Drosophila melanogaster: one gene and its partners. The protein of the gene in region 3 interacts with the protein of the main gene of each other region in a biochemical or structural test. Each region holds a gene or a part of one and is shown on either strand. Other genes may lie near its edges. The genes, in order: aPKC, Sh and dlg1.

Evidence for each region.
Region 1: of the proteins of dlg1 (region 3) and aPKC, one has a biochemical effect on the other in vitro, tested with the Drosophila melanogaster proteins (one study listed by BioGRID).
Region 2: the proteins of dlg1 (region 3) and Sh form a complex in vitro, tested with the Drosophila melanogaster proteins (one study listed by BioGRID).

The regions. Positions count from the first base shown.
Region 1 is NT_033778.4:14,953,606-14,964,303, forward strand, and holds the start of aPKC (atypical protein kinase C), read right to left. Parts: upstream 4,852-10,698; 5' UTR 4,639-4,851; intron 51-4,638; 5' UTR 1-50. UniProt on the Drosophila melanogaster protein: Serine/threonine protein kinase which is required for apico-basal cell polarity in the germ line as well as in epithelial and neural precursor cells, for epithelial planar cell polarity and for cell proliferation.
Region 2 is NC_004354.4:17,985,666-17,996,363, reverse strand, and holds the start of Sh (shaker), read left to right. Parts: upstream 1-5,684; 5' UTR 5,685-6,030; intron 6,031-10,698.
Region 3 is NC_004354.4:11,371,255-11,381,952, reverse strand, and holds the start of dlg1 (discs large 1), read right to left. Parts: upstream 6,191-10,698; 5' UTR 6,145-6,190; coding exon 5,235-6,144; intron 5,112-5,234; coding exon 4,980-5,111; intron 98-4,979; coding exon 1-97. UniProt on the Drosophila melanogaster protein: During embryonic development, some isoforms are essential for proper neuronal differentiation and organization. Required for cell polarity; maintenance of apicobasal polarity.

The DNA of each region.
Region 1 (10,698 bases), on a different chromosome or scaffold from region 3:
TCGAATTTGATTTTGCTTATTTTGTAAGTTCGTTTGCGTTGGACTTGATTCTGCGATTAATTAGCACAAGATTAACGTGGGGGAACTAGTAAGACACAATTGAAAGTTGTACTCTAAATCGAGTTTCGTATGTCCATTGCTTTTCAGCTTGTTTTGTTATCAAGGTCATTACAAGATTAAGTAGCATTGAATGTTTGATTTGTAATATTTAAGAATTGTTTGTTTTTCGCAAAGAAATCGTTATAACTCAATCTTTCTATCACTTCAACTTGATTTACTCCGTTGCCAGCGTTGCTTGACTAAGTGCCACCAATATTTCTACTTAGCATAAACCCCCCTCTTAAGTGGAGCGTATATAAAATTGGATTCAGTGGGGACTGAGTCGCGGGGAGAGCGGGTGGTCGGAGAAAGTAAATCGCGAAGGAAAGCGGAACAAGGTCCCAGTTGCAATTACAGTTACATGGCGCACCAAACTATGCAATGCAAAGTTTCAAAGCCAAACGACAGGCGGCGTATCCCCCACTCCGCCCACTTTGCTGATCTCGCAGTTCGTAATGATTGATTAAAAGAAAAACTCAGACACACACAAGGATATGGCCGTGAGAAGGGCGTTGGGCGATGGAAGAGGGGTTATGGGGATAGGGAAGGTGGGCGTTTGGCTATGGGCGTGGCCGGTTGCAGACGCCGCAGAAACCACACCTAAAAAAAATATATAAATTGTGTAATAATGGGAAAGACAAGAGAGAAACGAGCGGGGAAACCGAGAGAAATGCAGGCCGAACAGCTGACAACTCTGTCAGGACACCCACACACACACACAGACACACACAAGAAACAGTTGCTTGGAGAAATTGGTAACACACACAGAGACACACGGCTGCGACAATCACAAACAATTTAACCCAAGTCAAACGAGCGCACAAGTTGCTGCAAATTGACAAAGGCGTGAAAGGCAGCCAAGAGCGAGCGAAAATTATTGAGAAGGTGGGAGAGAAAGCGCCAGAGAAGGTAAGGAAAATCCAGAGAGAGAGAGAAAATCGGTCGACGCGCGCAGGGAAATTTGCTCGCAATCGCCCTTTTAAGTATGCAATCTTCTGTTGCCATTCCTACATTTCAGCCATGTACAGTGAAGACTCTGTGCAGTAAACTCGAAGGTTTTTATTCAAAAGATGAGATGGGTAATTATAGAAACATAAAAATATATATTTTATGTTATGAAAAGTAATGCTAATAGAAGTTAGTATCCCAAACTATTATAATGTGATTAAACACTTTCTTTCTCTTGAGCGTACACTGTATTCCAGTGAAAGGCGAACCCAGGGCAAAAGCCCACCCATCGATGCAGTCAAGTGTAAACAGAAAATTTTCTTCAAGTGTATTGGTAGGTCACATCGCAATCGCTTGTTGTTTAGACAATTGAAATTAAGCACTCCACTTTCATGCATAATTCGCATGATTAACGAGGGTCGAAGTGGGTCGAAAAAGGGGGTGGCGAGGTCCTTAGGTGGACAGCATCCACTTGACACAAGAGCCTTGTCGTGACAAGGCAAGCAGATCCCTTTGTTTGGCACTCATTTTCTCGGCATTTTCTTTGTTTTCCACGCTATCTGCTGATGATGCAGTCTCTGGTGACTGAATGGTGTGCACAAAAAGAGGATCTGATGCATTTTCGAATTAAATTTAGCCAGTCCCCTTCAACTCATCCCGTTTTCCCTAGCCCCATTCCCCTCTTTTGCACTGGCACTATGCTTCAGCGTTTGCTAAATATAAACACTCCGCCGGCATTGTTTTCTCTGCAATTGGAGCATGAATATTGGTTGCCTGCTTGTTTGTCCAGGATGGGAACAGAGCATCCCAAACAACCCAACAGTCCAGCCACCTACACTAAAGCCTTCCTGGCTCCATCCATAGAAACCTCTTTTGTTGGACTAACCAAAGTCCTAAAATCCCACAGCTCTAAGCTAGATTAAAGCTGATTTACAAACAAGAAAATTATTTAACAAGCTTAAAGTACACGCTTTGTTTTAAAGTTTTTAAGCCGATTAGTTAATTACTGCATAGGGAAAGTGCCCACAATAGATGTCTTTAAATCCTATTCTATTTATACTTCTTGATTTCAATTTGTTACATGATTAAGTTAAGTTTTCTGTTTTTTGTTTTCGGTAATTTAATATATTTTCACTGCATTGCATGGCCTAATAAAAATGCTGCCATAAATGTTTAATATCAATAAAGCTGCGTTTTTAAAGCAAAAAGCTATTGATTAGATATTCCCAATAGCTATTGTTTATTATTTACGGCCTCATTCAAGAATTTCAATGGCCTAAATAAGCACACGACTGCTTACATCAGAAACCCATCAAATTTGGATATTTAGCCCGCCACGCCCACGAATTATTGACCATTCCAGCGCCTCAATCATCCGCCCACTCTTGAACTTTGGCAAAGAAGCGTTTGGGGAGATGGGTTTCCTGTGAAACCATAACGATAAACCTGAGCAGGCGATGTTCGCCAAAAGGACTGCGGCACCATCTTTGGGCCAACAGATACCAGATACTCCGGACCAGAGGCATCAATAGTTAAACATCAATTTGGCTTTTCCGAGTGACGTCAAGCGGGGCGAGTTGCCACCTGCCGCCCACCTCGACCTCCAGTGGATATAAAATTTCACACAGCTTAAAAAAGAGAAAAGCGGCAAAATGGAAATGCCATAAAGTTCCCACTTACAGAAAGAATGCCCATCTGCGAAATGTACCTTAAAACGTGAATAAAGACGCTAGTTTATTCTATAAATATTAACAACTTCATGGATGGATACAAATTATATTAAAACAGAGCTAAACAGATAGTAATCGAGCTTCAGGGATCTAGAAAAATTTGACACTGTTGTGTATGTGCAACTTAAACAAATTTAAATAAAATGTAAGTATTGAGACTCGTAAAGCTTAAAGTTTAAGCATAAGGTCCTCAAAGTTGTACATTTTACTGTATGATTAATAATATAATATAATTATAGCTTTTTCTCTCTGCATCAACGATATGATATAGGCATCCGTAATGAGGCATATACATATGACCAGCAACCAATTCCGCCCACATCCGTACATTTGCACTGATCCCCTAACAATACCGAAATGGGCTTTCTTGTTTGCTGAACTAACAATAATTTCATTAAGCCCAATGGCATCATTAAAATTTGCCCAACAATCATAATGGGGCCAGCTAGCAAGCGAACTGGGTACCGAATCTGCCAGAGGCTGCATAGGCAAACCTAAAATAAAAGAAAAGGAACACAGACCAAAAACAGAACCCCAGGGTACCCAAAAAAGCAGTGGAAATTTGCTGATTTAACTTTGGCAAAAGGAGACGCACACACACCTGGTTCGAGTGAAAGCCTTCGGGCCAAAAAGAAACGAACAAGTTTAAATGGCAGGGCGACAGCTTGGCCAGCAAAACGCTTTCCGCAAAGAATGAATAAAAAGAAATTGTTTCGCCCTGCAGCTTCTTACTAGCCCACTGACTCATATTATATACATATGTATATGTACATAAATATATATAGTATATGTGCATATATGCCTTACATATATGTATGTATGCATACGAAATGGATCCATCTCGTCTATATAGTATAGTCGGTTTGGGCCAAGTTTGGGCAACCAGACGGTCGCCGAGGTGCAAGAAGCGCTTGATGAAGTGCAAATGCCTGAGGTCAAGTTTAGGGTGGGGATTCTCGCACACCATCACACACTCGCACACACACACACACACTGCCTCATTTTGCGTCATATGTGTTTGCAAGTGTGTGTGAGTGTGCGAGTGTGTGTGGTTTTGTTTGCCAGTGTCTGGCGCACAGCAGCCAAAAAATTTGGGAAAAAAGTGAACAGCGTGATGCAGAAAAAGTGTAAGGGAACCCACAAAAATGGAAATCAATTCTTTGATTTTTTTATCGTGGTTGCTCCCCTTTGTCTAAGTGCAAAATGATAGAGGCATAGGAAATGGTATGTTTTTAAAGCGTTCTAGAACTTTAATTGTATTGCACTGAGGTATTTAAAATATAAAAGAAAAATGCTTAGTGTGTGGGATTTCACCTGCGTTTTTGTCTGCGTTTTGTTTTTTACGTTTTTATACTTTAAGAAAGTGAATAAAAGCAAGGATTTTATTAATAGAAACTAAAAAACCATATTTATATTCAATTTTTTTTTTAACAAGAATGAATTATTATTATTAATACTTTATAAAGGGGTAAATTATAATCTTTCAAAATATATTGATTTTGCGAGATACGGTCATAAATTCCATCACATCTCTGGGGTAACTCTTTCATAAAGTTTTTACTTCATTAGCAGCACTAAAAAACGTTCATTAAAGAAACATTCACAAAATTATGTTAATCATTCCACGTCCATTGCCTTTCCACCTCCCCATTTTCCGACCCCTTCTCTCAGCGGAAAATTGTATGGCAACTAATCAGAAATGTACGACAACTTCGGCAGAACAGTCAAAAAATATTGCACAGGGCCAATTGATTTTTTCCGCAAGATTTTCGTGACTTGCCGAAGAGCGAGTGGAAATGTTTAAGAAAATAATTATATGGAATTATGTTATTCACTGATTTGTACTCCTTTTCCGACATACAACTTCGATTTTTCCGCTTTCTTTTGTTAATTCACAGCGCAGAAACTCGATTTGCCGTTTAGCTGTGCAAAATCTTGTATATTTGTATACATATATATGTATATGTATATATATATCTATAATTATGTATTTGTTTGTAAGGCCCGGGGAGTTATATCTTCGAATCGAAATCCGCACGGCACTTCCACACAGGCGAGCGGCCAACGCGCGAGTGAAATGCCGATGCAGAGAAGTATGCTAGGGAAATTTTTCGGGGAGAATGTAGCGGAAAGCCATGGAGAAAGCTATTGAGAGCGAGTCTCGGCGAATGGAAAAAGTAAAGAGCAAGAGCGAAAAAAGAAACTAGATAATTTGAGAAAAAATGTTTTGTTCTTTTAGTAGTTTCTTAGTAGACGTTTTTAATGAATGACTATAAAAAAATTATTATTAAAAAAAATATTTTATAACAATTCATTTTAGGTAAGCTATTTTGCTATGACTGTCTCGAAAATGAAGAAATGAAAAATATAATTTTTAAAAACATTTTTTATTCCAACACGTAAACAGAGTAAGAGTAAAGTAAGAATTCTATAATCTGAAATTACAATTCCGGATCCGTTTCGATGGATGAAGGTGATCCAAATGATCCGGAACTGAGTGGGGCAGATGTTACTAAAATTCAGTCCTCGTCCAAGGATTGGAAAAAGAAAATTTCCCTTCCCCGCTCTTTCTAGCTCCAAACAGCCTGTCGTGGCCTTGTGAATATACTTCACTTTTGGAGAGAGAGCGAAAATAAAAGCCGCAGACCGGCGCTTTAGCATTGCCATCTTAGATTCAATGGATGGCAATACCTTTCTCTTTGGCTCAGCTGTTTTTTGTGGCATCTGGGGAAATGCTCTCTCGCTCTCTCTCTCTCTCTGTCCTTCCATCTATTCTCTGTTGGCCATCGCTGTCTCGCTCTTGGGTAATGGCATCTTGTGTATCGACCTTATGAGCTGCAAAAAAAGTTCTTCGGACCTGGACAAAAGTTTTTCATGTACATATGCGTATGTGTGTGAGTGTGTGCCGGACAGCGTTGCCATATTGCAGGCGCATAAATTATACCGTTAGCTTACAGATTCTAACTTTTTGTATTGCTTTGTTTTTGGGAGAGCTGCAGAGGTTTTTGCTGGGCGGAGATGAAGCCGGAAGGTGAAGCGAAGTTCTACGGAAACACACTTTCCAACATAAGAAAAAATTAAAAAAAAAAAACGAAACCAAAAAACAAGAGAAGCAACAACAGAGAAGTCAAAACACGGGCTTGTATAAATGCAAAACACACTCACCAACAGCCATTTACTAATCAACACAACAACAATAAGCACACAAACAGAAAACATGTGCGGCATACAAACACACAGACAGGACATCCTAACATATGCAGGAGTGCGTGTAACGGTAACGTAATACCTTGACAATGTCCCTCTCCCGTACGCACACACACACAGTCGCAGGAAAACAGACGCACACAGAATACTTTTAATACATTTTAAGCCGCATTTTTTCACACGTGGCCACATAACACAAGAATAAAAACAAGAAAGAATGAGACTGTCAAGTGTTGCGACAGAAAAGCTACCCACTACCAGGCAATTGAATATTTAAGTAGCATAATTTTTGGGATATGTCCTGAAAAATAGATGAATAAAGAACTTGGAGTACGCTTGTTTTTAACGAATACAGCATACCCCTTGAAAAGTACCGGGTATGCAACAACAACAACCAACATGTTGTCCTTACACACTGTTCTTTTTTGTCATTCGGAGATATGTATGTACATATGTGAAGATGTGGACTGGCCACAAAATATCAGGAAGCCTGCTCCCCAGAACAAAAACAAAGCCGCATAAAAAGGGTAGCGGAAACTGTAACACCCTCTCCATCAAAACCCCACACCAGCCACGAACTTTGTTTAGTGCGACTGGCAGTTATCATATCTGCTGGGCCGTTAGTTGGCTTTTTTCTTGTTTTACATATCGGTGTTCGGAAAAACAGAATGACCACAGGTATGAAATGGTTAAGGATATATGGATAACTCGGAAAAATTTGAATAAGAACTACACTTTGCAAGGGATATTAATACTCAATAAAATTAAATGGTAAAAACAATTTTGGGTACTAAGTATCAGTTTAAGTATCTTACCCAATAAAACTAAAATGTCCTACATTCGTAGCCAAGAAGAGTGTATTCCTTGTTTATTATGCTTTAACCTCAGGCCCTCGTTTTTTTAGTAATTTACTGTATAAAAGGGTTTTGTGTTTGTCATTCGCCAAACGAGTGTGGTAAGTGAAACCTTTTTGTTGTTGCGGCAGGCATAATTAAGCACAAAACTCGCATCAGAGTGTGCATGAGTGAGATCGCCGAAAACCGCACAACAGGAAAATTAAAATTCCAAAAAAAGCTGGCGAAAACTTAAACCCACACGAAGCAAACAATTTAATTATAATGAATTATAAATGATGCCGTCGAGCCAAGATCCAAGCAGAATTTATATGCAAATAAGTCGGAGGTAGGCAAGAGTGAACAAACGTAGAAGAACGCTGACTGCCTAAGGCAATTGCCACAAGACTCAAGCTTTTCGAGCATGCGAGTGTTCGTACGGGTTAATTAATATTTTATGTTATTAACTCGAGTGGATGACGCTGCCTTTTGGCAGCCTGCGAAGGCAGAAAGGCAACCGGAAAACTCGCGGGGAAAACTCAAGTTTATTGAGCCAACAAGACGAGCTCACATTGTTTAATCAGGCTTAAATGTGCCTGCTTAAGTTATGGAAGCGAAGACGAAATGTGTGGCCGATTGGTTAATTAATTACTTGCTGCCTACCTTGCGGCGGCAGCAGTAAATCATTTAAAAACTTGGAGAATTGAAAATAAAAAGAAGAGTAATTCTGTGAATGCAGATACTGTATCTTTTGCTAGATAACCAGTAGGCTTACTTTGGTTTAATAGTGCTTTCCGCTCACATTAGTTTACTGACCTTATTAGATAAGTTTATCGTTTTCAGTTTTAGAAGCGAACTTAAATTACAATCGAAATTCCTTAACCAATAATAACCAATAACTCGACTTTCTTTTATTTATTACTCTAACGTATCTTTGCAATTTTAAATTTTGAGCAGACTTACCATGAATGACTAACTGGGAATCGAAGTTCATTTCGTAAAGTCGTATGGCCTCGTCCAATTCCATTTTCGTTGATATGGTGCAGGGATCGTTTTCCTCATCTACCCATTTGATGGTAAATGGCTAAACAAAACGCTCAATGAATTACACTTCTGTAACGTGCAGTACTTTATATATATTTTACCTGATCCAGAGGAAATCGACAAATGTTGCGAATCTCGTAGCACAGCTCCTCGTATGAGATATTCTTGTTGATGGTGGTAATGATAATCTGGCCATTGTAGGCGGTCTTTACCGTTATACTATTGGGCGTATTGGCCATGTTCATACTGGCGCTATTCAAGCTGACGCTGCTGCCGTCGTTCAGAATTTGCGAGGGCATTTTCTGCATTTGCTAGCTGGGTAAAATATTTTGATATCACGTAACACACAGAGACAAACAGATTGATAACAGAAAACTGCAAAAATAAGAGTAAATAGATACGAGTTAAAAACGAAGCGGTTTACAGTAAAATAAATTAAAAAGACATTTTACAATTACAAATTAAGCTAAAAGTAAGTTTTATTTTCTAGTTTAAATAAAAAAATATATTTTAATAAACTATTAGTGGCGAAATATATTTATATTTATACATTGACTGAACTTTTTTAAGGATTTGTTATTTTGTAGAAGCTTAACTGTAAAGTGTCGTAGCATTATCTTCAGAATCTGATAGATAAACGAACTTATGAATTTCTATTGCTCTCTCTGTTATCGTTTTCTCTTTGCCCACGAATTTGAAATCCCGCCCAAAACCAAATGTCAACTTTGACATTTGAGGCACACACACACATACGCAGACGCCAAACGAACTGCATGCCACAGGTAGTTGTTGTTGCTTGCGCTGCACCAAATGCGTAGACGTTGATAAAACGAATAAGACAAAACAAACGCGAGTGAATCATGCAAAACGCCCACAAAACAATAAAAGAAGAAAAGTAAGTGGAATTAGCACGCCAAAGCGAGTGTGCAAATTAGTTTATTTTTACTCCTCGCCTCTCCTTCTTTCACCGCTTACTTGGCATCTCAGTACTTAAGTATTTGAGCGTAATTAATGCCGTACATTGACCAAGGTAACTGTTAAAAGTACCCAGTTGGCCGCAACAACAATAGTGCAACAAATGAGCGAGAAAGAGAGAGAGTGGAGGCAGGGCATCGAGAGCGAGCAGGAGAGTCGCCAACCTGTTTTAACTCATTAGCATTTTTCAATTAAGACGCCGCTTTTTTAACATTAACACTTTTAATAAGCTTAAGCTTAGTAATCGACTCACACTGGTTCCTTTAGTTTATTTAACCACAAAAAGTATGCACAAAACGCCGCACAAATATAACACAGGGGACAAATCAAACAGCACGAAACATTTAAATTAAAGCCAATCAGTGCGCCACATACATTTTAATTAAGACACTGGCACTCGCACTCGTTTAATTAATTGTTATGGCTAAAACGAATTAAAACTAACATTGCTATTTCTCCGTTTATTTCGTTGTGGAAGGAGAGCACAAAGCGGAGAACGCGAAGTGACAGCACAGAAAATACCGACAAGGGAGTGCTGCAAGTGCCTCAATAATAACATGTTTACCAACACTGCTAGGGGTCGTTTTTAAATAATTGGTATTTTTGAGCTTCCACACCGGTTTCAGGGGTGGAAAACAATTATGACCGGTGATAAATGAAAAAGTTGTACGTACAACACTATTTAAAGCAAAAATACAAAAGACATTATTTTTTGATGATTATAACATCAACTTCAAAACACAAACTGAGCAGATGACCCAAAAATACTAAAACATCGATACGTCAATACTTTGTGTGCAATCGATGTTTTATTAATGAGGTATTTTCCAACAGCCACGCTGCGATCACACTAAGTTTTGTTTTCGTTTTTCCGCTGTTCGGACGTTTGTAGCGGAAACCCGTTCTTTTGTCGTTAGATTCAAAAACGAAATATATCACAAGTACGGATATCACAACAAAGTAAAGTGATTATAATTACAAAGTAAGAAAGCAGTGCTTAATATATCTGAGAAAATAAAAAAAATAAATAAAACTCAACAAATTGCCACAAAAGAAAATGGCGGCTCAGCAAATAAAAAAGAGCACTCGCGACCACAACAACTGAGCAAGAAATTCAGCTTAAAAGAAACCAACAAAAAAAAAAGCGTCAACATTTTCGTCTGCCTGAAATTAATCTGGTTTTTATGTTTTACTCGCGCGTCGTAGACATAAAATAAAGACAACAAACAGTGAGTTTTGGTGCGAGTGGATGTGTCTGCGTGCGTTTGATGCCGTTTGTTAGTCTCTTGTTTTTGTGGAAAAAACCATAAAAAACGTGAAATTCATTAAGCTACAAAAGCAACAATTACGAGCGTTTTACATTGTTTACATTTTGTGTGCCAGCTTTCGTTACGCTTGTGATTTATGTGATTTGTCGAACGGTAAGAGGAGGAGCGGAGAGAACTTAGCCAAAAGCCTGGAAAATAGTAATATTATCTGCTAACGTAAGTTTATAATATGTACACTTAATTACGTTTACACTTAAATGGGTCTTGGTGTTTTTGGTACATTTCGGACAGGCGGCAACTCTTTTTTGTGTTTTTATTTTGATGCGGCCTTCGTCCTGCGCTGCCTGCGTCGACGTCGGCGTCGCCATCTGTCACTTATGAGGGTTGCCAGCTGTTTCGATGCGCCTTGTATTCAATGCGGCATCTTTAGCATCTGCAGGAAATTGGGTTTTCAACAAAAAAATAGAGGAAACAAAAGACAATCAGGAGGAGGGGTACTCACGACTGCAGCTGCCGCTGTTTAGGCTTATGTAATTAATAAACGAACACGTGTCTGGCATTGCGAACGACACGTGACAACTCTGGTCGTGAGTA
Region 2 (10,698 bases), 6.6 Mb from region 3:
AAGGCAAGCAGATTTATTGGTTTGTTTGTTTTCACGTCTGAAGAAATTCCAAAACTTAATGATTGTTTGTCAAAGTTATTAATTAGTTTAGTTTAGTGCAGACATTAAACACTCAATAATTTTGTGAAATGAGCACAACATTTTCACTTACTTGCAAGTTTCAGCTGTGGATAATTTGAGATTATTTAGTTTAGTTTAGTTTTGTTTACTCGCCTCGCTTAAAGTTGCAGATGTGCAGTGCTGTATAAATATTTGTTTGTTTGCCAGTTGCAACACAATTTGCTTAACTTAATTGAAACAAAGAGTTAACTCAGTTCAACACTCTGAGGCAGGGTCAAATGCTGTCCGAATCGTATTAACTGTAAAAGCTTTCCATAGTCCTTCTTTCACTACGCTACGTTGCGTCCAAACATCGCCCACATGGCCCGCCCAACCCACTGGCCATTTTCCACCCACCTCCCCTTCCCCGCGACGCCGCCTAACCATTTTACACGTTTTCCCGATGTCAGTGTGTCAGTGTTACAGTGCCAAAGCCGGGTCCATGTCCGTGTTTTTGTGCTGCTGTCTGTGTCCGTAAGATGCCGACATTCCACGAAGCCTTTCTCCCCCTCCCCTCTCTCTCTCTCTTTCTCACTCTTTCTATCTATCCCTCTGTTTGGCCTTTGGTGCCATCTCTTTCTGCTGCTGGGTAGAAACGATTTGGCAATTGGAACACGGCAGCACATTCACATTTTGGACCGCGCTCATTTCGCGGCATTTTCGTTACGTATACGCAATGTGAGCCGGAAAGGTGATGGGGAAAAATTGTTAAATTAAAGCGAAAAAAATTAAAGAGAAAAATATAGTAGGATTTTTCGAACAGATATATGGAAGATTGTGTGTGTATGTGGGATTATTTAGAACAGAAAGGTAATAATTTTGTGCTATGTGTATGTGTGTTCATGTGCCCCCTAGTTAACTGCCATCGATGGCCCGGTGTTTCCTTTATTTTCCCTGTCTCCGGCCAAATGTAAACAAATTTCAATAATGGAAAAAATGCGAGCAAGGAAAACTGTATGTGTGGCAGTGTGTGTGTGTGTGAGTGTGTTTAAGTGTGTGTGTGGGGGTCAGGCGCATGTCTGCAGCAGAAGAAGGAGAGCGATTAAAGCAGCTGTGCGAAGTTCTCGTTTTATTTACATTTATTAATATTTTCGTCTTTTTTCACTCACTTTTATCACTCTGCGACTGTGTCACTGTGTGTGTGTGTGTGTGTGTGTGTGTGTGTGTGGTTGGATGTGTGTGGCTTTGCTCTTGGGAATTGTGGCGTCACCATGGCGTATGCGTAATATTTTGTTTTGTAATTATATGCGCGGCGGGCAAACGAAAATTTGTGTTTAATTAATTAATTGAAGCGCAGCAGCAACAGCAGCAACAGCAGCAGCAGTAGCAACAGCGGAGAAAGCGTTTTTAGTTGACCGCGTGGCGCCAACTTGAGCGCAACTCAACGGCAGCTGCCCCGCAGGAATGGTTATTTTTTTTTTTTAATAGTCTACATATACACCTAATGTATATGCGTTTGTTTTTTTTTTTCTATGGTGCTCAGTCCCAAAAACAGCTGCTTGCCACAGCTGAGTGTGTGAGGGTGCGTGTGTGTGTTTGTGGAAGCGAGATGGGCATATATAAATAGAATTCTTTCCGCCAAACAACAAAACGACCTTGCCGCCAGAAAAACAAAACGGAATGAAACACGCAGCGGCGGCAAGTGATAAATGGGATGCAAGAATCTCAAATAAATGTATCAATTACAGTTTTCTTTTTGTAGTGCCCCCATAAGTAGGCTATACGTTTGCCCCAAAGTGCATTCACTTAACAAATAAATAAATAAACAAACAGCGGCAATTGGCAGCAACATGTGGCCAAAACCGCAATGCCAATGCCACTAAAATGTAATTGTAACAACTGAAAAAACCAAACCGGCAATAAAAACGACAAAACCCACAGCAAATCAACCGCAATCATCGACGACAATAAAATCGACAAATAACAACAATTCAAAGTGAAATGAAATTTTAGTTTAATTAAAGGGTCGCCTAGCTGTGGATCATCTGGGCAATTGCACTTGCTTAATTTAAATATACCGCATTCAATTTCTTAGCCAGTTCATTTCAAGTTTTAGTTTGTTTGTATTAATGGAATTATAATGAATTTATAATCAGCAATGAAATGAAACAAATTCCAAATAAAATCCTTTAATACATGTAAATTAATGCATAGAGTTATTTTTCGTTAAAAGAAATAATTGATCTAAATTTCCGATCAGAATAGAATGATATTAAACATTCGTGATTTTTGTAGCTGCTTTTCGAAGTATACATTTTCTATAATTGTTTGTGCATAGTCAGATCTGCGATGTGCCCAGATCATCGACGAGGCCCCCAAAAACCGATCAAATAGAATGGCAAACCAAAATAATTAAAAAGTGATTAAATAAGTTAACACCAAATGCAAATGATCTGCAAATGGCAAACAAACGAGCAGACGAGCCACAGACAACGCTTCCAGGTCGTGTGCCACCTTACGTTCGTGCAGCAGCAGCAGCGAGTACAGTGAGGCAAAGCTAACAGCGACGCGCGATACGCAACGCGGGATTATCGGCGCCCGAGAGGCCAGGAGCGGCCCACTCGGTGGCCGTCATGCAGCTGCAGGCGGCCGGGGCCCAATTAACCAGCAGCTGCATTTAGCTCACCCATTGAGCACCTAGCAAACACATAGAACACATACAGTCACATACTAGACACGCACACACGCACGTACACGCACACACACGAACACATACAGATCCAATTAATTGGCAAGGATTCAGTGAGCTCAACGAAGCAGACCAGAACTAGAAAACCGAAACAGAAAGCCAAACCGAAACTGTTACAGAAACTGAAACTGAGACCATGCAGATGATACTTGTTGCTGGCGGGTAAGTGAAAAGACAAGTCCCAACAGCCCACAATCCACCCCCCACCACCACCTTCCGACTATCCTATCCAAATCCAAATGCAAATTCAAATCCAAATCCAAATCCAAAGCCAATCCAGAATACGCAACCCTCGATGTGATATATGTGCCTCTGTGTGTGTGTACTACTCGGAACTACTCGTACTAACTTAACTGCAAAATCTGAATTGTGTATGTAACCCATGTGTTTACCTAGCCGGAATAAAAGTTGCCAAAATCATATTCTTTGTATCTATCTTTAGCCGTAAGCCTTGACTTGATCGGTCAGTTCTATATGCCAAATCATTCTGTATAATCATGCATTAATAGTACTCTAAATGCTTATTGTTTCGCCTTATTTGCCATTCGCACTCGTTGCCGCCAAATGCCTTTGCTTGGCACATGTATCTAGAATCTATAGATAATGATAACTCGTAACTTGTACTGTGTATTGTGATCATATGCTGATACATATACATTTAACAATCTGTCTAATCGCTGTTTTTCTTTGTTTCCTATTTGCAATACTCCACGATACCCACGATGACCGAACTCGATATGAACTAATACCATCAACTTCCAGGTAAGTCACAAAATACAATTATCTAAATTGGAAGATTGTGTGGGCTTAATTCTATAAGGATTTTATGGAAGATAATCTAAAATCTTAAACTATTATTGGTAAAACATTAAAACAAGTGTATATATTTCTCTGCAAGCATTAAGTCATTAAATAGCAAATGAAAACATGAGGTGAAATGTCATTTAACATTAAAAATCTAATTTTCTGAACTGAAGAATTATAAGTACTGCAGCGACTCTTAGAAGATTGCTCAAAGAGGCTAAAGTATCCAAAATGTTGACAATAAATCCCAATCATTCAAAACCTATAGAGTTTAAGAAACTAGTAAGTGCAACTGTTAGAACTAAATGAGCTTTTATTTTTAAACCCAAAAGACGTTCTTATTTTAGTTTATTAGAAAGATTATAACATTTTCTGGATAACTTCGTCTCATTAAAAAAAAATATTTCAATAATATTAGCTTTTCTCCCTTCAATAAATTGTAAAATGCTATTTGGTAAAAACTATTAAATTATAGTTAAAATTTCACAAACGGTTGTATTTTACAACCTAACCAACTTATTCTCCAAATGCTTTTGTGTGGCTATAAAAGGTTTGCGTTCCGATAAATTTTCGTCCAATAATTTTTCAACGCAAAACCTGCATTAGCAAGGACACCAAAGCTTAAAGCTTTTCTGATTTTTTGAAAATTGAAGAGCTTAAAAGCTTGACTAAAACACAATTTCTGATTTGAAGAAAACTTTCTGATAGCTTTTAAGCTGGGAAAACAAATAGCTACGTCAACTTTGTTGAAGCAGAAGCCAGAGCTTTAAGCTGCGCTTTATCCAGCTTTCCGTGGCCCTTTTCTCTCGCTTTCCCTTATGTTTTCCTTTCCGAACTTTCCCATGCTTTGTTTGGGCGCGCGTTTGTGTGCGTGAATGTGCCATGTGTTTATTTATTAATAATTGCATTACTCATACGCCACGCCGTCCCTCGCTGGAAGCATGGCGTTCAAGTGCACACGTGACACTTATATGCGTGTGTCTGTGTATTACTTGGGAGCCTTTACATGGCCATGTGTGTGCGTCCGTATGTGTGTGAGTGTGCAGTTATTCGCATTATTATAATCAAGTGGAGCCAACAAAAGGGAAGCGAAGGAATAGGCTTCGGAAGGGGGGAGCATAACGAGCCCGGCGGCGTTTTAAAGCACACATTAATAATAGAGGAGCACACCTTTGCCACCAAAGGGTGGTGGTGATGCGGTGGCGAGTTGGAGGGCATGGGGTTGTGGCTTTTGTCGTTTCTCCTTCGATTCGATTTTCTCTTGCTCCCGTGTGCATGTGAGTGTTAGTGTATGTTTGTGTTTGGTTCATTTACAGTTTTCACCTAGTTTTCGTGTTTCGGTTGTTTTGCCTTCGGCCGCCGCCTCAGCGGCCCCTAGCGGCATTTGCTTTGTTTGACACCGCCACTCATCCCCGCCGACGGGCCCCCATTTCCAGTCCAGCCAGGAGCTAGAGCTCCATCTCCAGCGGACGGTGCCCGAGTGTCGCCAGAGTCGCCAGTGTCGCCAATGTCCCTGTGCCCATGGTTCCCGCTCTTCTTGCTCAGCCATGTTCACCCAGGCTACTCTTTGGCTTTGTTGTTGCGGCTCTGCTTTGTTGTTGGTTTTCATTTTATTCATTTCGTTTCTTTTTTTTTTTTTGGTTTTGTGTTTTTTGGGCCTCCTCTGGTCGCCGTGTTCGTGCCAAGTGGCACTAAAACTATTTGCCTTTTGCCCAGTTTTCGTATGCCTTTGGCCAGCGGGAACAGGAGCGGTACCTGCCACACAGCACAGTACAGAACATCGCACATCACACATAGCACACACTCGGCACACACAGAACACAGCACGCAACACGCAAGAGGCGCCATCGGAGTCGGAGTGCAGCAGTGGAAAACTCCGTATAGCTTTAGATATATAGCTATACGATCCAGTCCGCTGACAAAGCCGGAGCCAATGCAGCAAAGCAAATCGCACGTGCTCGCCTCGGCCCAAAATGTTCGTGGCGAGTTCGTGGCGCCCAACGTGGGGCGTTCGTGCCACCGCATTTGGCTCGGCTCGTAGTTCGGCGGTTCTTCTATCGCCGGACACTTTTGCAGCGCCTCAGTTCGGTTCAGTCGTCGCAGTCGCAGTCACGTCGTCACAACGTAATCGTGCAACGCGTTCCGCGCTTGGCGGCGACTGTCGTCAGTCAGTCAATCAATCAGTCAGTCAGTCAGTCAGTCCGTCAGTCAGTCGGTCAGTCAGTTAGTCAGCCAGCTAGTCAGTTAGCTAGTCATTCATTCAGTCAGTCAATCAGTCAGTGTGTCAATCTGACAATTGGAGTTTCTATCCAGACTTCAATATTTTTTTACCTCGCTCAAAACCCCCCACTCGCACTTTAAATAATAAAAAAAAGCAGGTGGTGCGTGCCGCGTAGCCGCGCGTGATTCTTGTTGTTGTTTTTTTTTTTTCGGTGAATGTGAGTGTATGGTTCTCTTTTTTTAAATGGTAACTCTTGTTGTTATTGTTATTCCGAGCTTGGTGCGTGCCGCAAAATTCGAAACACAAGGAGAAACTCCATTTAAAAAAGGCGTTTAAAACAGCTTAAGAAGCCATTTAAGCACCCTTCCACGCGCCACAGAAAAGGGATGAGAAGAGAAAAATACACCAGGACATGATCAGAGGCTCCAGGGGAATCCTGGAGTCCCTCCAACTGTATCGCCCTATCTCCGACTGTTTCTGTGTTTGTTTACCTTAATTAATGCACTGGCAAGCGGCAAATGGACCTGGACACTGCCAACATAATTTGCCTAGGGGGCGCCACTCGAATCTACACTGCTGCAGCCTCCGGTGGAATGATGATTCTGATGGTAGTGGTGGTGGTAGGGGATTGTCCACGCCAACTTAGCCCACTGCAGGTCGAGTTAATTAATATTTCACTCTAGTTAAGGGGGAGAAAGTGGAAAATGGTAGGGATTGGTCGGGTGAAGTAGGTTGAAGTAGGGGTAAGAGGCACCAGTGAAGTTTTGCTTATATAAGCAACTTCAATTCCTATTGCCTTGTGCCATTTCCATTCCCATTCCCATTCCCACTCCCATTGCCATTTCCATTTCAGTGCAATTCGAGTGGCCCAAAAGAGCCAGAAGGAGCAAAAGCTGTAGCAGTAGCCTAAAGAGAAACTGGCAAATTGCTCATACGACGCATTGGCGCCGTCAAAAACTGAACGAGCCACAAAAGCGGAATGAGGAGTGGAATGAGCAGCCGAAGCTGAAAGAAAAACAAGTTGACCCAATTTACAATTGTAAATCAAACTTAAAATCACAGCCAAAGTTAAACAAAAATAGAATGGTGGTCAGTAGCAAGAAGGGCAGGCATGTTTAATTTACAATAAGACAGCCTCAAGGATCGAATTCAGAGATCAATTGAATGCCTCGAAATTAAACTGGGCAGTGGCCTTAATATTTGACCACAAATGAAGGCAACGTATAAATTTTGTATGTCAAAAACAAAAACCCAGAAACAGGAACTGCATTGATTGGATTAATGGCTTATGTTTCGTTGCTTCGACCGTTTTCTTTCCATTGTCATAGAGAGCATATATAAATAATAAATACACGGGCTTGCAACACAATTGTGGGTGAAAGCAGGCTTTTCCAGCAATTCGAGCACCTCAGTATGCAGTGAAAACTAAACAGATGAACGCAAACATTGGAGTAATTATGTTGGGGATTTTGAAATGCATTCATTTTGTGGTTTCATCTTTCAGCAGAGATGAGAGGTTTACCATAACTTTGCCATCCGTATTGTTTGGCAAGTCACTTGGATATCTAGGAAAACTTTGGGCCTTCCGCCCTTCGCTTTCCACCAACCACCCAGTTTTCCCATACAAATTAGTTTGGATTTGGATTCTCGCTCTGTTCATTAATTTGTCTAAGAGCAGCTGAGGTTTTTCCCCGTATTACAACTTGAGCACTTGGGCATGTGAGGTTATTATTCAGCCTCGTCTTTGTATTTTTGTTTAAGCTTCTTTTGTTTTCGCTCCTCCTATTGTTTTCCTCTCTATGTTCCCCGCTTTTTTTACGCCTCATGTTCTCATTGTATTTGCGATTAAATTCAAGTTTGACTCGCACACGCCAAAATTAATTGGGCACTTGAAAAGTTGAACAAGTCGATCGAAAGGGGGGCGAATGGTTGCAGGGGCTAGATGTGCCGTGACGGCTCGACAGCTCAGCCTTCTGTTAACCCTTATCCACTCAGTGGAAAGTGGCAAGGGGAAGGAGAATGGGTGGGAAACCCCTTTGTAATGTTCTAGGCAACTGATTTATTTTGATTGAACTTTGCATGCAAGCAGCTGAGGCAACAGGAAGAACTCCTGAGCTTTCGAGCAACAACTGGCAAGTGAAACATCATAAAACAAAGCCAGTTTGTGGTTGAATACGAATACGAGCACAGCCGCAGGCTTGGTCTTGTTGATGGGTTGGGGGGGGGGGTCTGGTTTTATGGGGGGGTTACTACTAGATTGAGGGGATCGGAGGCCATTCGCACGCACATTGCCTGGTTTTTAGGCGGCAAGGCTTAGGCTTAGCTCCAGCTCAATCGTAAATGCGTCGAGTGTGGTTCGTTCTTCTCCGCACTCTTAACCCCTTTGTGCCAAAGCTGCTCGCCAGTGTGCCAGTGTGTCTGTGTGCGTGTGTGTGTGCAGGCTAAGTGGTTATGGCAACAACAGCGCTAATAAATCCCCTCTGCACACGCCTCTGGTGCTCGCTAAGCTCTCCTAATGCCACTGAGGCAACTCGGCTTTGTCTTTCGAGTTGAATTTGCCCAGTATATGGCGCATATATCGAGTGCCTTTAAAGTGGTCGTCTGTCTTCGCAAAAACATCAGCAGCTTCCCTGATTGAATGGTGGCGAATTTTTATTCTTGCCACAACTCGATATATCTGCCAACTGTTTTGCTCCATTTTGTCTTTCCTGCCACGCTTGGCCATTTAGTTTTGGCCCAATTGCTAACTTACATATGTATATATTTATGCGCATATGTTTGCGGTCGGGCATGAACACACACACTACAAGAAAATTTGGCCACCAAAAATATGCACAGAGTCGTATTTTATATATGCTATATACTTGGTGACTTTATGCCTCATATATATATATATATGTATGTAGTATATGTCTTCCGCAACTATAAAACATTTAATGTTGCAGTGAGACTTTCTGATTTCCTTTACAAAGTTTTTAAAACTACTTTAGGGGCTTATAGAAAAAAAAATGGCAAATACTTGCTTTAGTATGCACGTTGATTTTATTTTACTAAAATGTAACGAAATGTTCCAATTAAATGAGCCTTTAGATAGTTGACCTTTGGCAATCCCGAACTTAAAATTGCCAGGGCTTTGGGTGATTTGTGTTAACCTGAATTAGTTCTCAGTGTGCCATCTATCTATGGATATTGTAAATTATTCGCCTGGATCCGGAATCTCTTGCCAGTGGATTTTGGTACTCCGGCCAGAGGCTGTGCAGCTCGGCTCCGAGAAATGTGAAATGTGAATTTCGAATGGCAAATGGCAAATGGGGAATGTAGGAAGTAGAACGGAGAACGGAGAAAGGAGAAAGGAGCACAGAGAACGGAGAAAGTTACGCACTGCGGCGATGGTTTTTGGGCTTTTAATATGCTGTCGAGAGGTGGAAATATGTGTGTGTATGTATGGATACACGGCTGTGTGTGCGTGTAGATTGCACGTGCGCTGCGTGATTTTAATTTGAAACAAACATAGCCAGAGCACCCAAACACACACCAATTTTGCGTTCCTTTTTTTTAAGGTTTTAGTTTCTTCTCTACTCTTTTTTTATATTTAATTTTGTTCATTTTTTTTGTGGCCCCGGCTTTTCACAGTTTTATTTGGGTTTTCCGTTTTCGCTCGGTTCTCATTCCTATGTTTTTTTTTGCCGTTTTATTTGTTTTTTTTTTTTTTTGGTAATTCTTTTTACGACTCAACAAGCAGCAGAAGTATAACAAACCAAAAAGGAAGAATACAAACCAAAAAAAAAAAAAAATAAATAAAGAGAAAACAAATAGGGCGGGTGGCACAGAGAGAACATTTATTGATCTGCGGCCGCTTGAAGCCAATTTGAAGGTCAAGCATACGCACCGTGGTACCTCCGAGATGGGGCCATCTTCGCAGTGAACGAGTTTTGCAGTGTTACATAAAAATATGCAAGCGGCAACCAATTTCCCTACACCCCACCCCATTCGCCACCCCGCTCGTGACGTCATGGTAAATTATTTTCAAATTTGCGCCCAAAGGCCAAACAAGAAGCAGCTGTGCTGCACAAAGCGGAAACGGAAGTAGCAGCAAGGCGACAGGAGGCCACAGCACGGCAAACATAGCATACTTTTCAGGGCTCTGTGGGTGAAAGGCCGTAAGGCTGTACGAAGTAAGGATGTGCGGATTGGAGGACTGAAGGCTCCCAGGCTTGGAGCCTGTAAAGCAGCGACGACTGCAGTTTGGCTCCCGCTGCTCCGCTTGTTGTTCCGTGTCAAACATTTTCATCCACTTGTTCGCATTATCCTGCCAGACAGCGCACAGCGGGCGAGGGCATCAAAAGATGCCGCCAGCAGCAGTAGCAGCAGCAGCACAACCAGTGGCAAAAATTGTTACAATTGCCGTGGCGCATGATGGTTACGGGGGCTGAAAGCCAAATCCGTGCGAGCCAAACGGGCGAGAGAAAAATGAAAAGAATAAAATGGCAATAAACAGGCAGGAAAATGGGCCTGATAATGCGAGAGCTATATACACTTTGCATGCCATGCTATGCGATTGAAGCTATTAAAATTCAAGTAGTTCACTTTTCCTTTACAAAATCCTTGTCCAACCAGCTATGCAAATGGGTTCTTAATAATACGTCATTAGTTCATTGATTCAATCTAAGGCAAGAGATTAATTGACCCTTGTTAGATGTCCCATCTAAGTCGATAAAAACTTCAAAATAATCTCATTTCAAAGGTGTAATTATTTTGATAAAATCAGCTCAGCTGCCTTTTAAATTCCACGTTTCGTTTCGTTTCCTCGCTTCAAACTGCGAAAAAATTGATATACCTACAAACTCATAACCAACGATTGAATAGAATTTCCTATTGACTGCAC
Region 3 (10,698 bases):
TTTTCCCATTTGGTTGCAATTTGCAAGGTCTCCGCTGTCTTTTGTTGTATGCTCTTCGAGTCATCCAATAATGTCAATTCATAGAATTCTTGTATATCTGCAATTGAAGGAAATACATAATTAATAAGAGTATAATAATTATAATTCTTAAAACTATTTTCTTATATTATTCGCTGTTTTGTTCTAGTTTAAGGAGCAATCATGGTTCAGCAGTAAACATTATTTCAGCTTTCAGAAAAAACTTTCCACTTTTAAATGTATAAATATATTTATATAATATTGTATACTTCTGTGAGACAGGTATCGCTACAAAGATGTTTTCCATTCTACATTTGAAGTATATTCAATTCTTGTTTCTATTCTACATTTTTATAATATTCAATTTTAGTTTTAAAAACATCTTATGAGCAGGTTTCTGTCGTTTCAGAATGACACGAGAATGTCATACATTTTTACAAGCAAAAAAAAACTAAATTTAATATGTATTTAATATATGCTATCAATATATAATCAATAGACTTGTATTGCAATATACAAATACTTCAGCTCTGCTCTTTCTATCTACTTCATAAATATTATTTAATTTTTCGTCATTGATGACGCGTTTTCTGCAAATTCTGCCATGTTTGCGTGTAGATAAAAAGTTTTCTTCCAATACTCAAATTCTTTCAATTTCAATTCTGAAAGAAAAGACAACGAGTTAGACAATTTGGCCATTTAATCGGAATACAAATTTGCTTACCTCACACATGATTGTTCCTTCCGAGAAGAAACTCTATTCAAATGGGCAGCTTATCGACCGTTTTTAAGGCTGTTGTTTGTATTTTTTTCGATATTTCCGAATCGAACTTGCTTTTGATTGCCTACTCAGCGGAAAAGGAAAAAATCAAGCTCAAATTCGAGCGAGAGCTGCTGAGTAAATAACTCCTTCACACCAGAACGGATTCTTGGATTGTGAAAACAAACAGGGAATAAATAACAAAAAAAAAGGGGCCACTGCGGTTAATAAAGTTGAACACATTGAATAACGACAACAAGCAACTAAAGTGCAATCGAACGAATAAACAAACGGATCGAAAACTTTGTTGGCATTCTGCAGTTAACTTGTGGTGCGAAAGTACACTGAGAAAAATGCAACAACCAACCGCCGAGTGATCGGAAAAATCAAGTTAAACAACTTGATGCATAAGTTAAATAACATTTAGATGTTATCATTCTTTAAAGACAAATCAGTAAATATTGAATTCAAAAATTTTTCAATGCTTACATACATTTTTAAAATCAAGTGTCGCCTTAATTGTTTCATAGATATTACATTATTTAATCCTCCACTAAACCAGCCAGCTTCTTTAAATTCACATTGTCCGTCGGTGTGAAATGGGCTTTAATTGTTGGCTTAGTGCAGTGCCATAGGAGGCATCGAGCAGCTTTTGCTCGGGAAGCGGAAATCAGAAACTGTCAGAATGCATCTCGAATGCATACATTTCAATGCAAACTGACGCCGCCACTGACAGCGGAAGGGAATGGGCGTTGGGGGTGTGGCTGTGCTTATACGAACACACAATATACCCATATGCTGCTGCCAATATGTTTCGCTTCAACAGCAGTCAAGTGGCCCAAATGGGGGAAACTAAAATCCGACTTTTCAGGGAGAAAAAAAAAGAAGCAAAATTGAAACGAAATCCATGGCGCCCATTTAATTTCCTGCGCCCCAAAACAGGGCAGCCCCAAAAAGAGCAAGCGAGACAGCTGGTCGGATAGAACGAGAGAGAGAGAGAGAGAGAGCACGTAATTCCATGGGGCATTGCTGGGCCACCAATATATTGCATGGAAAAGTACGCGCAGTCATTGAAATGTGTGTACATAAAGTACAGCTCACTGGGAAACTAAAGGTTTCCCGGGGGAACTGTGCAAGGCAATTTGAAACTAAATATTTCAAATTTGCAAAGCTGAAAAGAAACACCCTACTAATATTAATCAAGCAGACGAAACTTTCGAAAACGTTTTCGAACATTATTACAAGCTTCAGATACCTAAAAAAATATATGTTGGCCCTACGATTAAACAAGCAGCTTAGCATATATACAAGAAGTTGCTTAAAATTTGTAAATCTTCAATGGAGAATTGCCTGTATTTTATCGAGAGACCACTGTACCACGTTATGCAATGGATTCGGCCACTTGAACTCAAAATGAGTTATCGAATGCTTTAGAATGCTTTCCCGAAAATGCCCTTTTAAGCATTGTTATTTTTTTCATTCCTCCATTATTTGTGTGCCTTCAATTTGTGTTCTGCATGTTTTTCATCGGTATTTGTGTTTGTTTTATTTTTTATTGCGGCCACATTTTTTAGCTGGCCTCAGCTGAATGCCAATGCCGTTGAAAAAGAGATGCTAAACTTCAGGTTACACCATCTCTCTCTATCTTCATCTCGCTGTGGGGAATTCCAGGAAATCGATAAGACCCCTCAAAAGTATCCACAATATATTTGCATACATATGTATGTATCATTTACAATAGCAGGGGATAATAATAGCAGCGATTTCAATCACAATTTATGTAACTTAAAGTAGCAAATAACTTATTGACTTATAGTAAGCTGCGTATAGATTTAAAAATTAATATCTTATGCTTGTTACAGTTTATCTCACGTATAGTGGTTTTATTCGCTTGACCGCAATCGTATCTCACTCGTAAACATATACACTAGTGTATGTATGTAAATGTAAGTGTGCTGCAGATGATTCCAATTCTAGGCCAATTAAATTGGGATTTCGCCCGCACATGGCTCTTCATGACCTTTTGCCCCCCCCCGTCCCGCACACAACCCCTGGCGCATCCTTATCTCTATCCTTCGCTTCAACTTGAGTGTCAATTGTGGTGCCTGTGCAACACTGAGAACCAAGCCAAAAACTATGGCAAAAAAAAATCAAACTCTGATGCCCAAACATAGTTTTTCCAACGATATTACTCATACGCAGTGTTATTCGGTTGCACAGTAGTAGTGCTTTCAAACGCAGTTGAAATGTTTTCAGTGTTATTACAGCATAACAGATTCAATGCAAATATGTTCAACAAAAGCGGGAAAGAGACGGAAAGAGACTGGAATCTAACCTCAAGTTTGATACTATACCCAAAACACACACACACACACATACGTTTCGGGTGTTTGGGATGCGGCTAATACCTTGTTAATTATTTCACACGCACACACATGCATACACCACCTCAAATTCCCTTGGGTGGACCTTAACTGTGGGTTGATTTCAAGGCTGTGAACTCTTTTTATCGTAATACATGTGACCCATATCTATCATAAGAAAAATCAAGTACTGGCATCGTGTTTAAAAACTCTCTTCTTCAATTTAGTTTAGCTTTCCTTCTAAACTAGCAGAGCGACGTGACTGATCATGTTCTGTCGAAGTGCGACCCTGCGAGTTTTTAAGTTAAGGTCCACCCTTGTGTTTGGCCATACAAAAGCTCCTGTTTTCTAACGTGTCACGTGTTTGGCTTGTTTGCATTTGAGTTTGTGTGTGCTTGTTAGCCGTTTAACATTTCTGACACGCCAAGCGCAGCCACTGAAACTGTAACGATAACGGGAGAAGAGGAAGCACCAGCGGGATACGCCGAACAAGAGGAATAGGGACAAGAAGAACCAAAACAATGGGAAGAATGGAAAGAGGTAGGGGGAGAGGACCCAAGCGAAACGAAACGAAAAGGATTATGCAACTGCCACTGACAGCGGGCAACACAATTTGCACCCAGGGGTCCAATAGAAAGGGACGGGGTCACAGAGCGAGACGCGGAGCGAGCGGGAGAGAGCCATAGGGGACTAGAATGAGATGGAGCACGGCGGTAGAGCAGAACTTTTGCAAATTATACAACAGGCAAGACCCACAAAACAGACAACTGCAAACCAACCGCCCGTCTCGAAATGGATGGACATATGGACAGAGAGAGATGAGAGGCGGATACGTTGCTGAAAAAAAGAAAAGATGGGCGAGCAAAAAAAAAAGTGTACTGCAAACAGTGCTGCCAAAAATCCAAAAGTAGCTAAGAGCTAATCCAGACAAAACTGTCAAATGAGAAAAACAAGCTGTCAAATCTTGGGCAAAAATGTCTCAATAAATGGGAACGGCTTAAAAAACTGCTTAAATATACAATGATAAGGCAACAATGGCAGGGAAATTAACTTTTCTTAATAGGAAAGTATTTAGTTATAGTGATAATTAGGTTCATCTTAAGCTTGAGACTATAGGTAATATGAGGGAAACCAACAAGTTGCTAGTGAAAATCAATGGCTCCTTCGCCATATGCCACCAAAATGCACTCCATGATGCAACTGGAGCACTAATCAGGCCGTCTATCGACCCTTTTGAGTAACCAGAGTCGGTAAAGAAAAAAAAAACAAGCTGAATTAGCCGCATTACTATGGGACGCTTGCTGTTTCCATTGCGCTGCGCTGCTTGGTCTATTTGACCCAAATCCTATGCAATATTATCGTTTTGCTGTCGCTGTTGCTGCAATTCCCTTTGTTGCTACTTTGTGCTCACTGCTTGCTTGTCAAGTGAAAATAATTTGCAACGCGAGGGGAGGGACAAGAAAATCGATAGGCGATAGGCAATGGACGATAGACAACTGCACAGATAAGAACTACTTTTCAAGGATCTTTCTTTCCGGCTCATCAACTACTTTCTAACAATCTTGGCACAAAGTTCGCAACTTTGTTTGCGTTTAAAGTTTCAGAATCAATAGACGATGATGATGAGCTTGGTTAAGGCTCTTGCTTATAACGAACTTGTGAAAAACTTATTTAGCACACTGACCTATATAATAAAGTATTTCACAAAAATGCACTTATCTAGCGGCAATTATTTAGATATTTTTAAAGGCAAAAACTTACGAGCGACGCGAATAGCGTCTAAGATATACATATAGGATATTTTCATCGATTTAATCGATACATTATCGATTACTCACCTAACAGCGCTTGAAACAAGCGAGATTTAAATATGCGTATAACGCGTTCGATTGCAATACGCAGCGCCCGATCCTGCGGCTCCGAAAGTCTCGCGTGGTAGTCCTCGAGCAGCTCGAGAGCCCGATGAGCTTCTGAAATATATAGAGAAAAGAATATGGTTAGTACAAATGATCTTCGATTGTTTTATTATGAAATCAACCCAAAAGACCAAGGGATTCTGCCTGCCCATTTTTCCCCACTGGATTAGTGCCTACTCTGTATGTCCGCAATGCGCTCCTCCTCATCCTGACTGATCGCCAGACCCGCCTGGCCGAAGATCGTTGACCAGAAGCCCCTCTCGGAACCCTGTTCCGAACCACTTTCCCCAGCCGCATCCTGTACGTGGGATCTCTGCTTGGGCTTTGGCTTCGCCTTGCTCTTGGCCTTCAACTGCAGCTCCGATTGCGATTTCTCGAGACTTTCCCGCTCGAGAGTCTCGATCATGGTGCGAAATCGGCTCAGTTCCATGCGCAAACCCTCGGCACTGTGGCGACTCGACGAAGAGACGGAGAGTCCGGAAATGCCGGAGAGAAGGCGACAACGGGCTGCGCCCGAGGATGACGACGACGGACCCTCCCACTCGTCGCGCGAAGCATCGCTCTCGGACTTCTCAAAGTAGCCAGACTCCACATCCGGTGTTCGGACCATCGAAGTGGAGGACAGCATGTGTCCGTACTCGAGAAGATCCTGGGCGGAATAGAAGCATTCAACGGACTCGCGGACACTATCGCGCAGGGATGTTGGACACTTCGGAGGCTCGGGATCCGGTTCGGTTACGGTCTCCATTTGGTGTTCCATCACCTCCAGTTGCGAATCCCCATCCATATCGCTAGCTTTGGCAGCTACTGCCACCGGATTGGTATCATCGATTTCTTGGCGCACTTCTATGGCTTCCGCCGACGGCTGTACCAAGACCACCAAAGGTGGCTGGTCTTGGTCGCAGCGAATCTGTGCCTTCTTCTGCGGCAGCAGGCACTCCTCCTCCTCGGGCTCCTCCTCATCGTCCGCCGGAGAGGAATCCTCCGCCGGTTCATCATCGTCGTGGAATGTCTTGTCATCGCTACTGAGCAGTCCCTCGTTGGGATCGCTGCTCTTCTCCCGCTCCGAGTCCGTATCCGAATCCATTACCAGGACCAGCCAAGAAGACACCTCTCTTCGCGCCCAAGTGCCGCACTCAACTGGCTAGACTTTTGAGCTCTATTATGGTTCTATAGTTTGGTGGCTGCTACCGCCGATAAATCAATAAAGATTGACGCTTTTTAAACATTTTTCACCGCTTGTCGGACGCCAGTTATTAACGCTTTTTTTTTTTTGTTTTTTTGTTTCCATGAAGGGTGTGTGCCTAAAATTCCCCATCCTAAATGCTTTAACTTGAAAATCTGAATAGCAACGAAGTTGTGTGTTGCTGCGCATAGTTTGATGTCCCCATGCGAAGAGGTCAGGGGTCAAGTGCCATACCGTCGCTGGCTTGTCATTCGTGCCGCGTTTGCCAAAAAATTAAACACATAATTTATTATTATAATCGAGTCGCATTATGGTCCCAAAACACACGCACACACACACACATACAGAGCACACAAACCAAACTATACATACTCGTATCTAAATGAACATTGTATCTGTGGCCGCAGTTTGATGTCCTCAGCACGCGTCAAACGCCGACGTTGACCTTCACTGACCATTTGCGAGGCTGCTGGCAGCGCTTTTCCCCGGTTTTCCCATTTTCCGTCTGCTGCGGCTCCTCTCTTTCCCCCTCCCCCTTCCCCCTTCCGCACCATTTCATTTCATCTCTTCTGTTGGCCATTTGAGTTGCCCAAATATGATTTGTATGTGACATAATCAAATAAAATTCTTTGTCTGCATTAATTTAGCTGGTTTTTTATGTATTTTTTTTTTTTTTTTTTGTTGCATAGCTTCCAATGCACAGTTGGATACATTGTTTGTTTGGCCAAAAGTGCCATCTCGTGTGTAATTGGAAGCAGCTTTGCTGGCTAACTTTGCGCAGCACGTAAAAGTTAAATGATCTACTAAAATTACAATTGAAAAACTAATGCCAACTTTCTATATACTATATGGTGCTTAAAACTTTCACCAGCAAATCAATGCAGTTTTGCATAGACATAGCTTTTTTAATAGGTTCTAACTTTATTTCACAATAGTTAAGGTTATTTTTCTAAATTTGTTATGCATAGAATTATGTAAAATGTGATCTTAAACCATTGTGTTAAGTTTTAAACTACTTTTTCAATTGCTGAAAACTGGCAAACAGTTTTCACTGTCCACCATTCATAAGGTCCATTCAATTGAATGGATTTCCACGTAATGCCAAAGACAGATATGTAGAACAGAAAATAAAAAAAGAAGAAGAAGGAGGGAAAGGTGGGAAAGGTGGGCAGTGAATAAAAGTGCAATTTTTCGCTTACCTTGCTTTTTCACTGGCATTCTGTGAGCGGTGTTTCTGCTACTATTTATGGTGGTGCTGGTGGAAATGGCAGCGGAAATGGCGGTGGTGCAGCAGCTTTGATTGTGGTTCAACGCCGCCGAACTGGGAAAAGCGTGGGTCGCAATTTTGAGAATTTACTGGAGTCGCTTTCGAGTGGAAATGTGCGGAAAAATCGCTTTGGCTTTTCCTTGAGTTCTCCTCCTTTTAGTTTCGCCAGCACATCTGTATATATATCTGATATATATGTATATATATATATATACTATTCGATGGTGTTTTATGTACAAATATTGTTTTGTTAGATACTTTGGCTTTCGAACAAAGTTCGAGATTTGTTGTTTTTTTTTTAATTTTGCGCTTTCAGTTTGCTAGTTTATTTTTTAATTTCTTTATATATTTTACTTTTCGTTTTCTTGGGGCAGCTTTGTGGTTACATTGACGTGTGCGTTTTCTCTCGATTTCTTTGCGATTTTCACATTTCACAGCTCAATGGCTCCTCACATTCACATTCGGTTCTATAGCATTTATGTTGCACTTTATATTGCAATGCGACTATCATCGAAATGTCGTACTTTCCTCGTCACAACACAACAACACCAACACAAAAAAAAACTCAGATCGTTTATTTGCTTACTTCGCGTTCACTTGATTTGATTCTATATTGCATTCACCATCTGAAAGTCGAAAGAAAAACAAGTGGAGAAGGTTTGAGGAACACGGCTCCTTTGGATTTTTTCTCAACGGCACCCATTTTGTTGTATAATCATAAAAACAAAAAAAAAAAAAACAAAAATTACGAAAATTGCAGACACACACGGGCGCAGTTGAATGCGCTTCCGATTGCAACAAAATGGGTACAGTGGTAACTCGCTGCGTGGTATTTCGTATCTAACTTCTATTGATCAAATATTAATAGCATATTCTTCAATATGCAAATATTTTTATGAGAATTTTAGCAGAATTGTAAAGTATATTCAATGTTTCAGCATCAGTTAAATATGATGCTACACTGAAAATATTCCTATAATATTATAAAACACCGTTGTCCATTATCGAGTGACCACTGTAGCTGACTCTTTTTTTCAGACACTCATATTTGGGAAATAAGAAAAATTGAATAGCGTCGCAGCGATGTCGAAATTCTCGTCTGCCCGCTTGTTTCGCGATCGCCATTGTCGAGCTGATTCCGATTTTATTCACATATTTTCGCCAGTCTGTGTGAGTTGGCTGCTTTTTGCTATTTCAGCTAAATGGTTTTTTATTTCTGCCATGCAGTTGATCTAGTTTCACTTGAAACAAAAAAAAAATGAACAAAAAAGAACTCATAAACAAGGCAAGAACCGAATACAGTGAATGCTGAGAGTTGAATTTCGCAGTGCCTTTGGCTTGATAACTTGTTACATTGGCCAGGTCGAAAGACCAAAATTCCGCACACCCGCACCGCACACAGACACACGTCCAACTGAGGCAATAACGGTGCTCTGCTTTTGGCCCTCAATCGCCAGCCTCTCGCCCCCTCTCCTCCTCTCACCCATCCTCTCAGCTGGCCGCCACCTCTCTCTCTCTCTCTCACTCTCTCTCTCTCTCTTCGACCGAGAATCCCGAGCGATTCTCGTCGAGCGCCGCTCGCCGGACCAACAATTAGTGCCTGCACATATACTCGTACACCGGATGCCATGCCAGATACCAGATGCTATATGGCTATATGGCCACGTATCTTTCTATCTGTCTACCTTTATACCATTCTATCTTTCTACCATTATATCTTTCTATCATTCAAACTATCTACATTTCTATCTTTATATCTTTCTATATTTCTATCTTTCTATCTATTTATCCTTATATATATTTATCGTTCTACCTTTCTATCTGTTTATCTTTCTACCATTCTAGCTTTCTAACTATCTATATTTCTAACTTTATATCTTTATATCTTTATATCTTTCCATCTTTCCATCTTTATATCTATCTATATATCTAGCCAATGGAATGGTATATGGTATATATTAGTACAAATTTATTATTTTGCCTTTGGTTTGCTATAAGGAGTATTGGCTTTTAGATAAAATGTTTATATTTCCATAATTTCCAAACAAACATGTGCAATACTTCGCTCTACTGCCCTACCAAGCGATATCAACAAACTCTCTGGCCAATTTGTTTATAGATCAAATAAATAAGCCAAACACACAATTCAGATTCGCTTAGGGTAGTCCCCCGACATTGGAAATTAACAAGAAACCAAATCATAATAAAGTTTATGTGAGCGATGAGCGATAAAATAAACATTTGAATGATCTGAAACCAGATCATTCACACGTCATAAAAAAAGAGGTAAATATTCAAAAAAAGGAAGATCTAAAAGTTCAAATCAGTTGAAATGTACGTAACTATGCAATTTCCTTCGACAACAAATGATTGACTGTTGAAAGTTATAAAATAAATTGCCATAAATATCGGGGAAATGTCCGAACCGACAATTCTAACTGCCGTGGAGTCCATTATTTTGACAGGCAAGTCGAGATCCTCGTGCATTTTGGTTCTCTACTAGAGGGAAAGCCATCGGGCAAAAGGCACTTTGATTAATGTGGTGGACGTCAGTGACGCGAATTACTTAAAAAACAATTGAACAACTAGACGGGTCAATACACAGCGAACCCGGAAGGCCAGACGAAGTTTGGGGCGCGGAAGGAAGTGACAGCGGGGGAGGCGGAAAAACTGAGCTAACGACTGGAAACTAGGAAACGCGCATCGGCAAAGACAGCAACAACAACGAGAATAATAATAATAATAATAATAACAGCAACAGCAGCAACAACCACGACGGCTGTGGGGTTCAATCACCTTTGGGAATTACGTACCGGTTATTATGGTTATTATTATTATTATCCTGCCCGCAGTTTGCCACAATCGTACTTTGGCCTACACACAAACACGAGAGTAGCGAAATGAAATGGATACTTCGAGTTGATAATCAAAAGGATATGTGCATATATTATATGAAACTGAATAATATAATACTACACTTTAGTTCTGCATCTATGGTTTTCGAATTCTTTCGTTAGATCCCATTTATTTTGCTACATCCTAAGCAGCCTAAAGTCAAGGTTATTTTTGAATTTTTGCCCTATTTTCTTGCGGTGTACCTACGCTCTGACTGATTTAGTGAGTGAGTTGGATTTCTATACGTTTAATTTATGTGCGTCATTTGTTTCCTATTTTTAATGTCTTTCGGC